Canis lupus familiaris: one gene and its partner. The protein of the gene in region 2 interacts with the protein of the main gene of each other region in a pairwise test. Links are inferred from orthologs where the notes say so. Each region holds a gene or a part of one and is shown on either strand. Other genes may lie near its edges.

Region 1 (4,283 bases), on a different chromosome or scaffold from region 2:
CTTCAGAGCTTCTAGGTGTTCCGTGGAGAAGCTGGGGAGCAAGGTCTCAGCCACTGTGTGCGGAGTCCACCCGACCCACCCCCGTCCTGGACCGGGGCCCAGCTGCCTCCTCCCACCCCCACCCCCTCGGGAGTGCTGGGTGATGTCACCATGAGCTGAGTGCAGGCACTGACCTGGTGTATGCTGAACTGGCCCCTTGAGGCCATGAGGGCCTGGCTGGGATTCATGTGGAGGGCTGACAGCTGCCTCCCTTGGCGCTTGTTTTGGAAACTGGCCCCAGCCCTACTTTTGGGGTCATCAGGTCTCAGTGAGGTCTGCCCCTCCTGCCACACCCCTCCACCTTGTGTGCCAGGGTGGGTCCCTGAGAGAACAGAGTGGCCCAAGGAGCAGCCCTGCTTACTTGCCCCTGCACGACCCTGGGGATCCTGGCCTGCAGGCACAGCACAGCCAGTCTGTGCTGGGGAGACCGAGACTGGGGGCGCCCCCAGGAGGGCGGTTCCCTGGGGCGCCCTCGCACAGCGGCACACTGCAGCTGCAGGCGGGGCTGGGGGGCTGGGGGGCCCCCAGGAGGGCAGGTCCCTGGGGCATCCTCACACAGCAGCACACTGCAGCTGCAGGTGGGGCTGGGGGGCCCCCAGGAGGGCGGGTCCCTGGGGCGCCCTCGCACAGCAGCACACTGCAGCTGCAGGCGGGGCTGGGGGGCCCCCAGGAGGGCAGGTCCCTGGGGCATCCTCACACAGTGGCACACTGCAGCTGCAGGCGGGGCTGGGGGGCCCCCAGGAGGGCGGGTCCCTGGGGCGCCCTGGCACAGCGGCACACTGCAGCTGCAGGTGAGGCTGGGGCGCCCCCAGGAGGGCGGGTCCCTGGGGCGCCCTCGCACAGCTGCACACTGCAGCTGCTGGCGGGGCTGGGGGGCCCCCAGGAGGGCGGGGTCCCTGGGGCATCCTCGCACAGCGGCACACTGCAGCTGCAGGCGGGGCTGGGGGGCTGGGGCATCCCGACCTAGCTGCCCGGTGCTGCCGCAGGCCATGCTGGGCGGCCCCGGAAACGAGGGGTCCGCGGGCTTCCCGAGCACTCCAGGACCGCGGCCCCGAGAGACGCGGCCAGACCGGCCGTCAGGTGGGCAGCACCGGCCGGGCCGTCGGGACCGCGAGCCGAGCGCTCAGACGGAACCCGGCCCCCCCCCACCCCCTCCCCCTCCCCCTCCCCCGACCCACGAGCGGGCGGCCCGCACTTCCGGCCTGACCGGAAGCACCCGGCGACGATGCCGCGTGCGACGATGCACTTCCGGCCTGAGGCGGCCGCTGTGCTCGCGACTTCCAGCAGGCGGCGCTGGGGCCCCGGGAACGCGGCGCTGGCCGTTAGTCCTGGAGCATTCTGGGAGTCGCAGTGCTGCCTCTTCCTCCTCCTCCTTTCCCTCCTCAATTCCGGCTCTTTGCGCGAAGGAGAGCCGACGTTTCCGGGGAGGGGGGAGGCTAGGGAGAAAAGCGAGGACGCATGCGCAGGGGCTACGGGACCCGACAGGCCTCGGGAGTAGCGTCCCGGTGCCTTGTGGGAGGTGTAGTTCTTCAGGTGCGGACGCCGAGGCGCCGGGCCGGCGGAAGACTCGGTTTCCCAGGAGGCCGAGCGCGGCGAAAGATGGAGGCGGCCCGGCGGCTTTGAGCCGGTAGGCTTGTGGCGCGGGAGAGAGGTCGCCTTTTCGCAGCCTCCTCGCCCCACATCCCCGAGGTGTTTCGCGTCTTTGGTGGCTCCCCGAGCCTGGTGAGCCGCGGCCCGCGTGCGGCCAGGCCCCCGCCGGGGCGGAGACAGCCGGCGCCGGCTTCCACGGGCGGCCGAGCGCGCCCCAGCCCTGCCCCGGCCGAGCCGCCGGCCTCCGCGGAGAAGCCCGGGAGCCGCCGCGGCCGCTCGCTGTCGCGGGGCGCTGTGCCCGACCCCGGGGCGCCCGCCGGCCCGGCCGCCCCCCCAGGTCGCGGCGGCGCCCCGCCCTCCGGAGCTCCTTCCCTCGCGGGGACGTGCCAGGAGAGGCTGCTGCCGGAGCCGCGGGCTTGCCCTGCCCGCAAGGATGCCCCGGGCGGCCGCTGACCCCCCACTTCCCCGCGGGCCTGACGGTCAGACGCGGAGGCCCCGGCTGCAGACCCGCGTGGAGTCCCGGGGCGTCTGGGCAGGCAGGGGCAGCCCTTGCCTTGCCCAGGCAGGTGGCGCAGCTGTGCCGAGCAGCTCGTGGACGGGCCGCCTGGTCGAGCGCCGTCGTGGAGCGCAGAGCCTGCTGCTGCCCCCGGGCTGGGCCCTGGCTGCTGCCTGCCTAACCCCCAGCGGGCCCCTAGACTTAGCTCAAGAGGGCTGAATGAAGATCTTCCCGAAGGGTCTGCGTCCAGGCCGGCCTGGGCCTGGGCCCCGGAAACCCAGGACCGCCCCCTGGGGGTCGCGGTACCGCTTTGCCCTGGTGCTCCCTGACGATTTGCCCTTCCCACCTTCTGCCCGCTACAGTTGAGCAGCTAAGCGGAGCCGGGACTGAGGCCACCGGGCGCCTTTGCCGGGACTTCACCCACCAGAATTCTGGTGTCTGCACAGACGTTCATCAGACAACGGAGGTGAGACGTTGAGGGGGGGGCGGGTGTGGGAATCTCTGTCCTTTGTTTGGTAGGACATAGCTCTTCCTTCTGGCCCTGCCGCCTGCCCAGGGACTGTGGGTTTATAGGAGGGGCCCGTCCTAAATGGGTGCAATCCTCAGAAACGAACTCTTTGGGCTGTTCTGGTCTAGGTGTGGTGGCCCTGGGACACATGTCTGAGGTAGGGGTAGGAGAGCCCCTGGAAGCCGAGCGAGGAACAGAGGATGACGCTCTGCCTTCCGACACCGTCTCTCTCAGTGACTCGGACTCCGATTTCAGCTTGCCTGGCGGTACTGAGATGGAAGCTCTGCCCCCGGGGGTGCTATCTGGGGAGGCCCAGGGGGACTCAGACCCCGATGAGACCCCTTTGCCTCCAAAAGGCCTCCCCACAGCCTCAGTACAGCCCTTCCACCTGAGAGGCACGAGCTCCACCTTCTCCTGGCGCAGCCGCAACATCTTTGACTGCCTGGAGGACGCAGCCAGGCAAGACCCGGGTGACCATGGGGATTTCATGCAGCCACCAGCATCCTCACACCAGCGTCCAGGAGAGGGCCCGGGCAGGGCCAGTCAGAGCCCTGCCCCCACGAAGTTGCCCCCCATCCCTGACTACATGGCCCACCCTGAGCGCTGGACCAAGTACAGCCTGGAAAACGTAGCCGAGGTCAGTGAGCAGAGCAATCAGGCTGCCGCCCTGGCCTTCCTGAGCTCCCAGAGCCTGGCTGGCCCCAGAGACTACATGCCGTCCTTCAACCAGGATCCCTCCAGCTGTGGGGAGGGAAGAGTCATCTTCACCAAACCGGCCCGAGCTGGCGAGGCCAGGCCTGAGAGGAAGAGGGCCCTGAGGAAGGCAGGAGAGTCAGGCAGGGGTGCCCCTGGGGACCTGGGAGCAGCAGGGGGCGAGGGCCCTGTGGAGCTGGCCCACCTGGCAGGGCCTGGGAGCCCAGAGGCTGAGGAAGAGAACAGCCCCCACGGGGGGCTACAGGAAGTGGACGTGCCACAGGGGGCTGCCCATGCTAGGTCAGCGGTGGGGCCCCCAGTGGTGGAGACTGTTGGCTTCCATGGTAGCAGGAAGCGGAGCAGGGACCATTTCCGGAACAAGAACAACACACCTGAGGCCCCAGGTGCAGAGATTTGAGAGAAGAGACTGCCTGGCTGGCGTTTCCTGACCATGCGGTGGAGGAGGGCAGCCGGGGTCACTGGCCACTTGGAGTGGAGTGGAGCTTGGGGCCCCCCGCCCTGGAAAGGGAGCCAGCGGTCTGCCAGTGTGAGGCGCCAGCAGCCTGGGCTAGGGCTCGGGATAGTGGTCTCTGAAGCAGACAGCTTGCCAGTGGACAGCAAAGACCCTGGCCCACCACATGCCTGTGGGGCCACAGTAAAGGTTTTGGGTGTTGCTTAGACTTTGTGTGTGTGTGTTTGTGTAGATCCTGCGCCTCGGGCCATTGTCTGCCATGCTGTACACCCAACACCCGGTTCTCTCATTTGAGCCTCTTCAACTTAATCTCCAGTGGGCATGGAGGCTTTTTAAATGCTTGCCTGGGTTCACCAGCAGGCCCTCTTTCCAGCTCTCCTGATCCAGAGCAAGAGGTGGAGAAGGCCCCAGGCCCTCGAGGGGGCAACCTCACAGTCCCAGGTGTCCAGCTTCTGCTCCCAACAGGGTGATGAGATGGGTCTCCA
Region 2 (2,974 bases):
AAAGATGCTGCACTCAACTGAACTCAAAAATTAAATTCTTTTGTTTGAAGGTTGGCTGTTGGGTCAAAGTTGTAAGTACCTCCTTGTGTTGCTTCGGGAATGAGGCTAGGATCTTCATCAATCTATAAAAAAGCACACAAAAAATATCCTTATTATGTTAAGATACTAGATGTGGTATAAGCAAATCTTTCTTCTTATGAGAGAATTCTTTACAAATGTTGTAATCATTCTTTCTTCTTTTTGAAGATTTTATTTATTTGACAGAAAGAGTTTCAGAACATGAGCAGGGAGGGGGGGGTAGGAGAGGAGAGGGATAGGCAGGCTCCCCAGGGAGAGGAGAGGGATAGGCAGGGGCCACACATAGGGCTTGAGCCCAGGACCCAGAGATCATGACCTGAGCCGAAGGCAGACACTTAACCAACTGAGCCTCCCAGGTGCTCCTGTTGTAATTATTCTCTATGTTTCAATCAATAAATAAAAACAAGTAAATCAATAATAATATTAATAAATTTAACTTTTTTTTTGAGGATTTATTTTAGAGAGAGAGAGAGAGAGAGAAAGAGAGAGAGAGAGTGGGTATGAGTGGGGGGAGTGGCAGAGGGGGAGAGAATCTCCAGCAGACTCCCTGCTGACTGTGGAGCCCAACATGGGGGTTCAATCTCACGACCCTGAGATCAGGACCTGAGCCCAAATCAAGAGTCCAAGAGTTGGATACTCAACCAACTGAGCCATCCAAGTCCCCCCAGTAATTTAACAATTTAATTAAACTGAACACATATAAAAATTGCTCCATTCTTTTTTTTTTTTTTTTTACCTCCTCCCTCATCCATGCCTCATTCTTAAGTTTCTGTATCTGTAGATTTATTTTACTCATCTCAACACACATCATTTCTATAATTACAGTTGACCCTTAAACGACACAGGAGCTAGGGAAACCAATCTCCTCCCCAAAGCAGAGTCCAAAATCCAAGTATAACTCCTGACTCCCAAAACTTAACTATTAATAGCCTACTGTTGACCGGAAGCCTTACCAATAATATAAACAGTTAACATATTTTGTACATTATATGTATTAAATACTGTATTTATTTTTAGAGATTTTATTTATTTATTCATGAGACAGACAGAGAGGCAGAGACACAGGTAGAGGGAGAAGCAGGCTCCATGCAGGGAGCCCGATGCGGGACTTGATCCTGGGGCTCTAGGATCACGCCCTGGGCTGAAGGCAGGTGCTAAACCGCTGAGCCACCCAGAGATCCCCAATACTGTATTTTTAAAAGATTTTTAATTTATTTATTCATGAGAGAGACAGAGAGAGAGGCAGAGACACAAGCAGAGGGAGAAGCAGGCTCCTTGTAGGGAACCTGATGTGGGACTCGATCCCAGGACCCTGGGATCACGACCGGAGGTGAAGGCAGACGCTCAACTGCTGAGCCACCCAGGTGTCCCTAAATACTATATTCTTATAATGAAGTAAGCTAGAGAAAAGAAAATGTTACTAATCATAAGAAATAGAAAATACATTTTTTGGAAAAGATTCTATTTATTTGAGAGAGAGACAGAGAACACAAATGGGGGGAAGGGCCAGGGAGAGATACAAGCAGACACCCTGCTGAGTCGGGAGCCCCACATGGGGCTCAATCCTGGGACCCTGACATTATGACTTGAGCCAGTCAGACGCTTAACTGATTGAGCCATCCAGGAGCTCCAGAAAATACGTTTATAGTACTGTACTGTGTGTGTGTGTATACACACCTATATTTGATATATATATATTTTACATACATATACCTGTATTTGATATATATATTTTTTACATACACACACACACCCTATTTGATTATTTGATAGTTTGGTAATTATATATATATATATAAAATTATATATTATATAATAATATATATAATATATATTATATATTATAATATAATAATTATATATATATATATATATATATATATATATATATATATATATATATATATATAATTCTACCTATAAGTAGGCCTTTGCAGTTCAAACACTTGTTGCTCAGGAGTCAACTGTAGTATTTCTTCCCATTTAACAGATTAAAAAAATTTTTTTTTCTTATTGCATTTGTAAAGTAATCTCTATGCCCAAGGTGTGGCTCAAACTCACAACCCTAAGATTAAGAGTCTCATGCTTTACTGAATGAGCCAGCAGGTGCCCCTTCAAAGAACTGTTTTTATATTTTTACTTTATAATGATGTTACATACACAGTATTTAAACAAATGATTGATGGAAAATAATCATTAATTTTTTTAGATTAAAAATAACTGGAAATGCCACTTCAAGAGTATCTGATAGAAATATATTATAAAATTGTCCTATTAATGATAAAAGGAAAATTCTTAGTAAATTTAGAGTATGTACATTTTTTTTTTTTAATTTTTTTATTTATTTATGATAGTCACAGAGAGAGAGAGAGGTGCAGAGACACAGGCAGAGGGAGAAGCAGGCTCCCTGCACCAGGAGCCCGATGTGGGATTCAATCCCGGGTCTACCAGGATCGTGCCCTGGGCCAAAGGCAGGCGCCAAACCGCTGCGCCACCCAGGGATCCCCCAGAGTATGTACATATTTTAATGTACATGCAGGCATACCATACTTTAATGTATACTTACATCATCACCAGAGAAATATTGATCTATGATTTCAAAAGCTAATTTATATATGTCTTCATTTTCATGTTGCTGTAAAACTTCGATTTTCTCCAAACCTGGTAATAAAAACGAACAAAATCAGATTCTTAGGCATATACACATATAAAAACTGTGTTCATACTAACAATGGAAAATCTGAAAGAACTCAGAATACCTTCCCACCATTACCCAAAGATGAGTTTTCTAAAAAACAGATAAAACCCTGGGCTGCTCTGGTTGAGGACGAGCATCTCACGAATTTCTTCCTCTTAGAAACCCTTGAGGTACCCTGGTATCTGAGGCAGACAGTTA

Evidence for each region.
Region 1: the proteins of KPNA3 (region 2) and TSSC4 interact in binary tests that used the Homo sapiens proteins (3 or more experiments, as listed by UniProt). The two-hybrid records come from large-scale screens. The link is inferred for Canis lupus familiaris from reciprocal best matches to the Homo sapiens genes KPNA3 and TSSC4.

The regions. Positions count from the first base shown.
Region 1 is NC_049239.1:46,929,430-46,933,712, forward strand, and holds TSSC4 (protein TSSC4), read left to right. Parts: upstream 1-1,473; 5' UTR 1,474-1,761; intron 1,762-2,487; 5' UTR 2,488-2,591; intron 2,592-2,761; 5' UTR 2,762-2,781; coding exon 2,782-3,744; 3' UTR 3,745-4,006; downstream 4,007-4,283. UniProt on the Homo sapiens protein: Protein associated with the U5 snRNP, during its maturation and its post-splicing recycling and which is required for spliceosomal tri-snRNP complex assembly in the nucleus.
Region 2 is NC_049243.1:2,072,273-2,075,246, reverse strand, and holds part of KPNA3 (importin subunit alpha-4), read right to left. Parts: intron 2,740-2,974; coding exon 2,645-2,739; intron 123-2,644; coding exon 24-122; 3' UTR 1-23. UniProt on the Homo sapiens protein: Functions in nuclear protein import as an adapter protein for nuclear receptor KPNB1. Binds specifically and directly to substrates containing either a simple or bipartite NLS motif.